3 linked regions of the Xenopus tropicalis genome follow. The main gene of each other region encodes a partner of the protein of the gene in region 3 in a complex. Links are inferred from orthologs where the notes say so. Each region holds a gene or a part of one and is shown on either strand. Other genes may lie near its edges.

Evidence for each region. Proteins that work in one complex are often made in the same cells at the same time.
Region 1: the proteins of diaph1 (region 3) and ppfia3 are in contact, whole or in part, in a crystal structure (PDB 4UWX), measured with the Mus musculus proteins. The link is inferred for Xenopus tropicalis from reciprocal best matches to the Homo sapiens genes DIAPH1 and PPFIA3. Residues at the interface, in NP_031884.1 of Mus musculus: Lys252, Ser255, Ala256, Ile259, Gln307, Asn310, Ala311, Thr314, Pro315, Ala316, Glu317, Arg322, Gln352, Cys354, Val355, Glu358, Gln359, Glu362; in NP_084017.2 of Mus musculus: Pro719, Arg720, Arg723, Leu724, Arg726, Met727, Ala728, Ala730, Leu731.
Region 2: the proteins of diaph1 (region 3) and pfn2 are in contact, whole or in part, in a crystal structure (PDB 2V8F), measured with the Mus musculus proteins. The link is inferred for Xenopus tropicalis from reciprocal best matches to the Homo sapiens genes DIAPH1 and PFN2. Residues at the interface, in NP_031884.1 of Mus musculus: Ile635, Pro636, Pro637, Pro638, Pro639, Pro640, Leu641; in NP_062283.1 of Mus musculus: Ala2, Gly3, Trp4, Ser6, Tyr7, Asn10, Ala28, Tyr30, Trp32, Arg108, Met131, Tyr134, Leu135, Ser138, Phe140.

Annotation. Positions count from the first base shown.
Region 1 is NC_030683.2:117,906,952-117,910,604, forward strand, and holds part of ppfia3 (liprin-alpha-3), read right to left. Parts: intron 1,913-3,653; coding exon 1,831-1,912; intron 1,743-1,830; coding exon 1,542-1,742; intron 1,318-1,541; coding exon 1,255-1,317; intron 228-1,254; coding exon 201-227; intron 1-200. UniProt on the Homo sapiens protein: May regulate the disassembly of focal adhesions. May localize receptor-like tyrosine phosphatases type 2A at specific sites on the plasma membrane, possibly regulating their interaction with the extracellular environment and their association with substrates.
Region 2 is NC_030681.2:118,629,633-118,633,285, forward strand, and holds part of pfn2 (profilin-2), read left to right. Parts: intron 1-1,903; coding exon 1,904-2,096; intron 2,097-3,573; coding exon 3,574-3,653. UniProt on the Homo sapiens protein: Binds to actin and affects the structure of the cytoskeleton. At high concentrations, profilin prevents the polymerization of actin, whereas it enhances it at low concentrations. By binding to PIP2, it inhibits the formation of IP3 and DG.
Region 3 is NC_030679.2:27,682,324-27,685,976, reverse strand, and holds part of diaph1 (protein diaphanous homolog 1), read left to right. Parts: intron 1-955; coding exon 956-1,681; intron 1,682-2,536; coding exon 2,537-2,651; intron 2,652-3,653. UniProt on the Homo sapiens protein: Actin nucleation and elongation factor required for the assembly of F-actin structures, such as actin cables and stress fibers. Binds to the barbed end of the actin filament and slows down actin polymerization and depolymerization.

The DNA.
Region 1 (3,653 bases), on a different chromosome or scaffold from region 3:
AGTTTTATTTCTTCAAGAAGGAACACCTGATTGAACCATTATGCTCATTGGCACAATGGCCATAGGTGGAGCCAAATCACTTGGCTATATTATTATCATCCCATAACAAATACAGAACCAATACAGCACCTCTAGAAGCAAATGCTGGTTGTGCTAATAAATAAATAAATGAACAAAGGCACTCCTGGTGATAAGCCTACCTGTTCCCAGCTGATTTCCTTAGTCTCCTGGCAGTGGTTAAATTAAGAAGGATAAAGAAGAAAGATTCAGAGTTAAGCTGTTAGTCGCACAAGTAGCAAGATTATGTGCACAGAAGCAGAACGTGCTAAAGTATCAAGCAAAGGAAAATGAATCCAAGACATAATGTGAAATCACAGACAAGAAAGTAAAGGTACTTAGGACAAGTAACACCAATCAATTTGACATACTGGTTGTTCCTATCTAATACTTATATAAATGTGCAGCAAAGTGTCTCCTTGTTAGCAACTTTACATGAATTTAAACCGAAATACCTTACTGGGTGTTTTTTTATCAGTCAAACCTATAGCAGATAATTGTGAACCAAGTTGCCTTCTTTCTTATATGTTACTTAAACCGAACAAAGCAAAAACATCATATATCATAAATGTGTGATTATAGATATAGATAAAAGGCAATACGAGGAGGGGCCCCTCCCTAGCAATCCATGGGCTCACTAATCAGAAGCAATATATTATTTCAACACAACATACATATAACTTTTACTATATACCATACATATGGTCAAATTTTGTGAGATTCAATTGTTTTATACTCATTGATTTTTATTGCTCTTAATTGTGGTATATAGTGAAAGGCATATGTATGTTATATTGAAATAATATATTGCTTATGATTAATTAGTCAACTGATTGTGAGGGGCCCCTCCTCTCATTGGCATTAGCTTTGTTTTTAGGGGGGAGTTAGTATCTATGCTGGCATGGATGAAAATAAATTTTGCCTTTTATCTATATCTATGACCGCACATTTATTAGTATAATATCATACTGGGATAAGCTCTTGAGTGTTTTTGCTTTGTTTGGTTTATACTAGGGATGCACCAAATTCCGGATTCGGCTTTTTTTAAGGATTCGGTCTTGGCCGGATCTGCGGTCCCAGCCGAACCGAATCTGAATTCGGCCAAATCCTTCTGGGTAGGTTCGGTGCACCCCTACTTTATACTGAACATGAACTTACACGATTCTATTAAAAACCCAGGAAAAGTCGTCTACGTACTGGTTTAGTGGTTGCTGTCAGGGTCTCCATCTCTTCGTGGGTCATCCACACATTACCTGTCGACTGGACAGAAGACATAATAGAACAGTGATCAAGGGGCAAATCAAGATAAAGCATGAAACAAAAATAAAACCAGTAATGTGAATAATAAAGAACTGGGCCTGACAAGCGTGGCCAATGACTGCTAGGAATATTAGAATGTCAGCCATGTTGGACAAACCATGGCATAACATGCCATTAGCTGCTCCTTTGCTTCATGTGCTACATAAAGTGCTGTGAGCGCTCACCGTACGTGAGGTGGCCGGTGCGGAGGGACTAGTGAGCGATACCATCTCCTGGATAGCAAGGCGCAGTTTCAGCCGATGGAGGGGGTTGCTGATGCCAATCTCCCGCTGGATTTCTGTATCAGAAAGGTTGGCCATGATAGCTCCACTTTTTACGTTAGCACGGCAAGCTGCTACATACCAGGCGGGCATGCCTACCCATAGCTGGGAGATAAGATGACGAGAAACAAGTTTATTGACTGTGACAACGACGTAGGAAAGGACTAACTGAAGACAAGATAACTTTTCTTACCTCCAACCATGAAACAACAGTGGGTCCATCCCAGGCAGCGAAAGGAAGTCCCTGCCGGCAGGCTTCTTCCAGCAGTTCATGCCTGTAAGGCAAACATAAGAGAAACACCATCAGGGGCAGCCAAACCACCTCCATTGCTCTACACCACCAAGTCTAGGAGACACAATGTTCATCAAAAATACAAAGATTTTAGAGCCTTCCAGTTCCAAAAACAGCACCTCCACCGAACAGTTTCCAGTGGCAATACCGGTCACTTGTGGTTCTTTGGGCTCCAGTGGTTGAAAAAGATTTGGTTATAATGATGGTTCCCAACATGGAGACCATAAGCCTGAATGAATGCTGTAAGCACAATAATATTAATTACAGGCATCATTAGAGTGGCATAAATCTGTATCTTAAAGATTCAATAACCATAGTCCAAGTTATATATGACAGATCTGGACTGGGATTCAAAACAGGCCCTGACATTTCAAATACACAGAGGCCCAAACAGCCCCCCCCCCCCCCAGCCCAATAAATAGTGAGTGTCTATGGCATCTTACAGCAGCCCCTCTGGCATTTGCCTGAACCCACAGATTGCCAGTCTGGGCCTGATGACAATTCTCTTGATAACCATGTAAAACTGTCATTTTACAGGGAAAAACTCATGACCAATTAAGTTCTTCGGGCGCCTTGCGTTCCCACAGCAGGTTATGAAAAAGGGAAAACGAGCGGCGCAAGATGGCACGACAAGTAATGCTGTGACTCACTGCTGCAATTCACACCTGGGCGCTGATGCATATATATATCAGGCCGGATGCGTCTTTGTCAGAAAACACAAGACCTGTTAGATATTTACAGGGGAAGTGTAATTTAATATTAACTCTATCCATGCTGGTCCTACTGACCAATCTAGGGGCTAATGGGGTGTTTGTTGCACTGCAGGCTGGTACATACTCTGAAATGTTACAGGTAACGGAACTCTGTAATTACCATCAGGCTGGACCTGGCTGTTCCAGTGTTCCCTTAGTATTTGTAAATACTGTTATGGGAAAACAGGTTTTTTTTTTCAAAATTATGAGGACTGCTCTGGCAGAATTCTGAGATTTTTAAAAGAGCAAACAGTTTTTTTTATATTTAATTTTGAAATCTGACATAATGCTAGCTACGTTCTTACTTTCCCAGGTGCCTGCAGCCATGTGACTTGTGCTAGTGGTACCTAGACATAAGAATAGCACCCTGGCTGGAGAAACCCCTTTATATGCGGCTTAGGTCGTACTGACCATACCCTGAGTAGGAGAAACAATAGGTTAGCTGAAAGCAGTTCTAATGTGTAGCGCTGGCTCCTTCTGAAAGCTCAGACTCAGCCACACTTTACTGCTGCGCTGCAAGTTGGAGTGATATCCCCCCCCTCCCAGCAACCGATCAGCAGAACAATGGGAAGGGAGCAAGATAGCAGCTCCCAGTAGGTATCAAATAGCACTCAATAGTAAGAAATCCAAGTCCGGCTTGTGACTCCTCCAGTTCCATGGGAGTAGGAGAAACAATAGGTTAGCTGAAAGCAGTTCTAATGTGTAGCACTGGCTCCTTCTGAAAGCTCAGACTCAGGCACACTTTACTGCTGTGCTGCAAGTTGGAGTGATATCCCCCCCCTCACCCCCAGCAGCCGATCAGCAGAACAATGGGAAGGGAGCAAGATAGCAGCTCCCAGTAGGTATCAGAATAGCACTCAATAGTAAGAAATCCAAGTCCGGCTTGGGACTCCTCCAGTTACATGGGAGTAGGAGAAACAATAGGTTAGCTGAAAGCAGTTCTAATGTGTAGCGCTGGCTGAAAGCTCAGAC
Region 2 (3,653 bases), on a different chromosome or scaffold from region 3:
TCTCCGCACCTATGTTGCCAGCTTTTAGCACAGAAATAACAGAAGTATGCATTTTGCACCAGAATCTGCTCTGTGTGCCTGCACCCGGCCTGATGCAATGGCTCTGGAAGCAGGCACAGGGAAAGGCTGATGCCAGTGTAGGGGCCGATCCTCTGCCTGCTTTATCCACAGGCCCGAGTCAGCTCCGTCTGTCATTAGCCTTACATAGTGTGCCAATGGATAGGATGTTGTAGAGAGTGGCAGTTTGTTATAACGTTGCTAGGGTCACTGATTCTGGTATCCACTTGTTTCTCTGCCTGCACCCAAAATCATCGCATCAGCTGAGTTGCAGGGGCACGGAGTGGATTTTGGCTCAGAATTGCATACTCGCATGTTCTGACTGAAATCCACTCAGTGTGCCTGCACCCCAGCTGATGTAGTGGCTCAGAGTGCAGGCACAGGGAAAGGCTGATGCCAGCGTAGGGGCTGATTCTTGGCCTGAGTTTATCTGCAGCACCGTCTGGCATTGGCCTAAATAGAAGTAATACAGATGTATAAATCATAACAATACAAATGAAGTTTAACAATCTGTCTCAGTCTGCAACTTAACCAGGCAGTATTTTACAGTGTGGGGAAAAGCAGTACAAGAATCTATGAAGAAAAACATTTTTTTTTCTCCTTGTATATATATTTACCCCATCTTCAGTTAATTTTAAAGTAAACGTTTCCACTGAACAAAGAGCAGAGTGTAACATCCTGGCTCAGATTGCAATGAAAGAGAACCACACACGTGGCGATTTTCGATCTTTCGTGCGACCATCGGTCGCATTAAAGATTGTTCCAACCCTCCACTGACATTCAGGGCTGAATCGTCTGATATGGAGGTAAAAACAATAGGATTTCTACCTCCTTCTGCCGATTAAGCCCTGAAGGCAAATTTTGCTCAGGCGCCTTCAATGGCGCCCGATCGGCGAGTCACAGCCTTCTGTGATATCGGTCGCCTCGTCGAGTTGCCATACACGCACCAAATATCGTACAAACGAGGTTTCACACAATATTATCGGTGCGTGTATGGCCAGCTTAAGTTCCACTTGCAGCCCAGTTACGGCCCAGTAATGGGTCCTTTGGCTGTGGGAGCTATAACACACGAGCAATGTTGTATAAATTACAAATGGCTTCTGGCAGCTCCAAGGTTATATTTTTTGTTTTTTTTCTTCAGTGTTATGGGGAGAACAGTGTAACCTTTATTATGCATTTGCTGATGTTAAATTTGTTGGTATTTTTTAGCAAGAGGGTGCTTTGTTCAAGCTTAGGGTTATATTTGAATGTTTTTCATCCTGCACATGTGGAAATGTGCAGTGAGCAAAGTAAAACTTTGAGTGCAATCGCCATGTTTTTTCCCACAGTGCAGTGCTTCCCCCCCCCCCCCCAGAATTCCTGCCTTTGCCTGGGTGAAATGCATGATTGCCCTTTTGCCAAGGATTGTTAGGACATATCCACTACTCATTTGAAACGCACGGACCAAAGAGAATCTATGGGCAGCTTCAATAATGTGGTTGTTTTTAAAGATAATTTTTAGTGTAGAAACTGAAACTGGGACCATATATTATTCATTCAAGTCTAAAGGGGTTTTGAGTTATGCTTTATGCTCCCTTTATGTTTAGCCCAAGTGCCCCCTTCTGCTTTAGACACTAAAGGCCTCTCTGCTCAGTTCTGTTGGTCATTGTGGCCATGCCCTGACAGTACAGCAGGGGGTGCTTGGGTTACACATTCCCAATATTTTTATGGTTGTGTCAAGGAAGTATATGTCCCATTGACAGAATCTAAACAATTACGTGTATTTATTATAGTAACTTATAGAATTTGTAGAAAATTGATGCAATCGTCAATAACAAACAAATGGCTTTGTACTTTGTTCCGGCAGCCTGCAGAAATTGATGTGCTCATAGGGAAGGACAGAGAAGGATTCTTTACTGGTGGCCTAACTGTGGGAGGAAAGAAATGCTCTGTTATAAGAGACAGCCTCTATATTGATAACGATTTCACAATGGACATCAGAACAAAGAGTCAAGGAGGAGAACCAACATACAATATTGCTGTAGGAAAAGCCGTAAGAGGTAAGGTCTTGTGGTGCCTTAGTGTGTGTGTATATTTGATTCTGTGTTGCTAAGCCTGGGTTTGCAGAAAGGATTTTGTTGGAGGTTGGACTGGACCTCTTTGAGTATAAAGGCCTCAATGTTATTTTATATTTTTCAAACAACAAGAAGTTACTGCACTTCTCATCCTGTGCATCAGGTTCCCTATTATGGTGCATAAACAAGATTGCCTTGATAATAGTGTACACAAAATGGCACAGCCTGCTTGCTGTTATTTTGAATTCCATGACTAAAGGGAACAACATTTAATAAATAATTTATATAACGTAAGTAAACTTTATTTTGCTCGACTAACATGATAAAAAAGGATTTGGAATTATTTCTTATGGGGACAGGTCCCCTATAACAAGAAGACCTGCTATCCCATCTGTAATTATAGCCAAGAGGAATACCTGCATCCAGGCAATATCTAAATATCCTTATTTCTATAAATATGTACATGTATTACACCAGATGGCTGTTTGTGGCTGGGAGACTTGCCCAGCATGGTTAAGGCTACAGCACAGCCAACATGAGGAGCAGTTTTTAGTATTTGCTAGATTTATGTAACTGGGAAAAGGCTCTGTGGGGTTGCATGCTAAAATATTTGTGTTGTGGCTTTACATGCTGCCTAAGTTTTGGGGGGCATATTTAAGTAGAGGGGTAAACCACCTCTTCATCAGAAAGGATCTCCATAGTTCTCTGTTCCCATTTATTCTGCAGGGATTGTCTGTGACAATGCACAAAGTAGGTTTGGCACAACCCCTATTGATTGAACGCATGTTGTACAAGGGGATATACAGTCCCTTAAAACTGCAAGTTGGTGCAAAATATCTCCTGCAGTGAGTTTAGGATGTGGCCTACAAAGTTCAGTTGCCCTTTATTTCCAATCAAGATGGAGCAGTTTGATCATCAAAACAAATTCCTGTTCAGTATAATGAGCAATTCAATGTACAAGGGAATGGGCACACTGAGCGCTAGTACCCATATGAGGCAGGTGGTTTTGGCGGGGGACTGTAAATGTGCAGACTATTTTCATACATGACAGTTTTTTAGTTTAGCTGGAATCTTAAACACAAAGCACCATGGGATGTTTACATGTGTAACTATGTTGTTTCACTTGTAAAGAAAAGGGCAAATTGTACGTTATTTTCCTTTCCTGGACATTATCCAAATCAGCACACACTGGGATATCCCATGCCCTGAAGGACCCTCACCAAAGCTTTAAAAGCCAGCTACTCTGTATGGCACGTTGGCCAGGCATGTGGATTCAGCCCCATCCACCTAAAAAACAAAACAAAACAAAAAAAAAAACAAATCTTGACCGAATCACAGGACAAATATATATGTATATATATATATATATATAATTAAATATAATATATTTATGTGTATAATATACAACATTCTGATTGCTGAGCACAATCTCATTGTATCTTTTTCTTTTTTTCTTTTTCAGTCTTGGTTTTTGCAATGGGCAAGGAAGGCGTCCACGGAGGCGGCTTGAATAAAAAGACATTCGCAATGGCAAAATACTTG
Region 3 (3,653 bases):
TTTTGTACAGCACAGGAACCTGACATTTTATCAGGGGTGTGTAGACTTTTTATATCCACTGTATGAATGTATTCTGCCGCAGCATCAAAACTGCAATTTAAAAGCACAGTTGAGGGTAACCCCACCCCCTGCATAGATTATCTGTTTCTGCAAATGGAAGTTTTTAGTTGCACATTAAACACTTTTGGCTGTTGCACATGAGCTGTAATACTAGGAACATGAAATTTAGACACAGCAATGATAGAGAAACCGAATGTATACATCTGGGCTGTACATTGTCAGGCCTTTGGATAGTTTTTTGTATTCTTCGGTCTTCAGATTTTTTTTTTTTTTTTTTTTTACCCTTCAGTCAGTGATGGAGACAATTAAGTTGAAAATAGGAATCCGACAAAAAATTTAACTTGTATATCCCCTTAAGGCACCGTCTGGCCGGGAGAGTTATAATTATAAATGAAATAGCCAGTTACACTTTGTGCACATTTTTTGAAGCATAAACCACTCCAATGCATAATATTAGATTATGAGGAAAAGAAAATCTGTATTAGAATATCTCAACTGTTCTGTCTGAGAATGTAGTATTCATAATTATTAAAACTGGCTAAAAACTTCTGTGTGCACCCTGAAGAGTGTCGCAAGTTAATTAAGAAATGCTCTTCTCTTTTCAGCATGTCTGAGATTGATTAGCTTGCTGTAACATTCATGGTGAACCAGCAAAATAACATATTTTCATGTTTTGTCTGTGCATACTGTTTGTGCGCAAATTAGGGCAGCTATTTTTAGCCTATTAATGCAGAATGGGCAAGTACCTTAATAAATCATGTCTTTGCTCTCTTAATTTAAAATGTTAAAATCTATAGGTATTGTTGTAGGTATGCTGTAGAACAAATTCTTTTCCATTGTCTCTTTTAGGTAGTGGTTAAATGTATCTAATTATAGCATTGCTTGGTTTCTGCAGGTTGAAAAATTGTCAAAGGAACTTGAAGCTACCAAAAAAGAAATGGCATCAATTTCCACATCTGCTGTTTTAATCCCTGTACCTTCTGCCTCTGGAAATGTGCCACCTCCACCACCCCCTCCTCCTCCACTTCCAGGTGCAACTGGTATTCCTCCACCTCCCCCACTTCCAGGTGGCTCTGGTATTCCTCCACCACCCCCACTTCCAGGTGGCTCTGGTATTGCTCCACCACTTCCGGCTGGCTTTGGTATTCCTCCACCTCCCCCACTTCCGGGTGGCTTTGGTATTCCTCCACCTCCACCACTTCCCGGTGGCTCTGGTATTCCTCCACCTCCCCCACTTCCGGGTGGCTCTGGTATTCCTCCACCTCCCCCACTTCCGGGTGGCTCTGGTATTCCTCCACCTCCCCCACTTCCGGGTGGCTCTGGTATTCCTCCCCCACCACCATTTCCGGGTGGCCCTGGAATTCCTCCCCCACCGCCATTTCCAGGAGGCTTTGGAATTCCTCCTCCTCCTCCTCCATTTCCAGGTGGCCCTGGAATTCCTCCTCCTCCTCCATTCCCTGGTGGCCCTGGGGTTCCACCTCCACCTCCAGCATTTGGAGGTGGTGTTCCTCCACCACCAGGACTTGGAGGCTGGGGGGCACCACCACCCTTACCATTTGGCTTGGCTCCTAAGAAGAATTATAAGCCAGAAGTGCAACTGAAGCGACCCAACTGGTCAAAGGTATGTCAACTAATATACAACCAGTTTTTTATTGGGCGGTGTTATAGGCTACATTTTTCAAGTTGTTACTATTCCAATCATTATTTCCATATTGCTTAATATCTAATGCACAGTGCAAACAATTGAGGTTTAAGTGTCCCCCTCAAGAGCAGTCACTTTCCTTGGAACATGCTTCTCTTACTTTGTTGTCTAGTTCTAATGGTATAAAATTGTCTTACATCAAGGAAGTTCCAGTGCTTGCCTTTGTCTTCTGCCTGAAGCCTCTGATTAATGGACTCTTGCTTCTAATTTCACTTAATTTCATTTTTTTATTGTTTATTTAATGTTTTCTGCCCTCTGCCTTGTAGAAAGCATTAAGAAGCCATCACCATGGTAACACACATTCTAATAATCACATTTCCTATAAAATATGCAAGCATTGGATAATTACCTTGCTCTAAATAGGCAGAGTTTCTTTTGTCATTTAAATTGTACATCCCCTCTGTTCTTTATTTATTTTTTTAAGAACTGGGACAAAGATAATGAATGTGCATATCTGTGAAATCCTTATCATTCTGTTCCTCTCCATGAAACTAGCTACATTTGAGTGTAAGAACTGCTTTGTTGGCACACAGACAGATTCAGTCATTCCCATTTTAGTTTAAGTTTTGTAGTAAATATCTTGCTTTCCTGTGCTTCTGTAAGCATCACAAAGCTATTTTCTTGGAAACGACAATTCACAATTTTCCCAAAGTCCTTAATCCTTTGCTATCCCCTTGTTCAATCCAGAGAATTCTTCTTTACCAGTCATTCATTTGGTGAAACGTTGAAAGGTGTTCAGATCAGGTAATATATAACATGTAAATACTTTTCCAGATCACTCCTGCTGAGCTTTCAGAGAAATCGTTTTGGACTCAGACAAAAGAAGATCGTTTTGAAAAAGAAGAGCTGTTTGCAAAAATAACCCTCACTTTTTCTTCACAGATCAAGTGTGAGTGAGCCAAGATACCGTGTATTTCTTGTGTGTTATTCCTGAGATCTGTAAAAAAATGGGCGGGTTGCTAAACAGTTTTTGGGTCACTTTTTTGCACATTAGATTTTTCTAAAAACGTATGAAGTAATTATTAATTCGTAGAAAACAAAAAAAGAAGAAAGGTTGACCCTCAGACTTGTACCACCCCTTCCTTAATAAAGGTATGGGATCCGTTATCCAGAAACCTGTTATCCAGAAAGCTCTTAATTATGGAACGCCCGTCTCCCATAGACTCCATTTTAATTAAATAATTCAGAATTTGAAAAATGATTACCCTTTTCCCCGTAGTAATAAACTGTACCTCGCACTTGACTCTAGTTAATATATAAGTAATCATTATTGGATGCTAAACAAGCCTATTGAGTTTATTTAATGTTTTATTGATTTTTTTTGTTGACTTAAAGAATAAGTAAACCTTTTTTTTTCTATCAGTAAAATTACTCTAAACAGCCTCTGGAATTACCTACATTTGTCCCAGCATTCTGTCTGACCTGGTTCCTCAGTTAGAAGTTAATCGGTTTTCTTTGCTTCCTTGTGCAGAGTGAAGACCCGCCCCCACTTCCTGTTCAGGTCTCTCTTCAATTCGACTATCTGTAGTCGACCTGGAGAGCCTTCTGGGCATGCCTGGAGGCAGCAGGAGCCAGTCTGTGCATTAGCAGGGTTTTTTTTTTTTTTTATGAGAGACCAGAACAGGAAGTGGGGGCGGGGCTTCACTCTGAACAAGGAAGCAAAGAAAAACAATTAACTTCTGAGGAACCAGGTCAGAGAGAATGCTGGGACAAAGGTAGTTAATTCTGTAGGCTGTTTAGAGTAATTTTACTGATAGAAAAAAAAGGTTTACTTATTCTTTAAGGTATGGAGTTTCAAATTAAGGAAAGTCCCCTTATCCGGAATACCCGTGGTCCCTAGCATCAATGCTGCAGAATTACATGGTTAAGGGATATTTAGAAATAAGTGCAT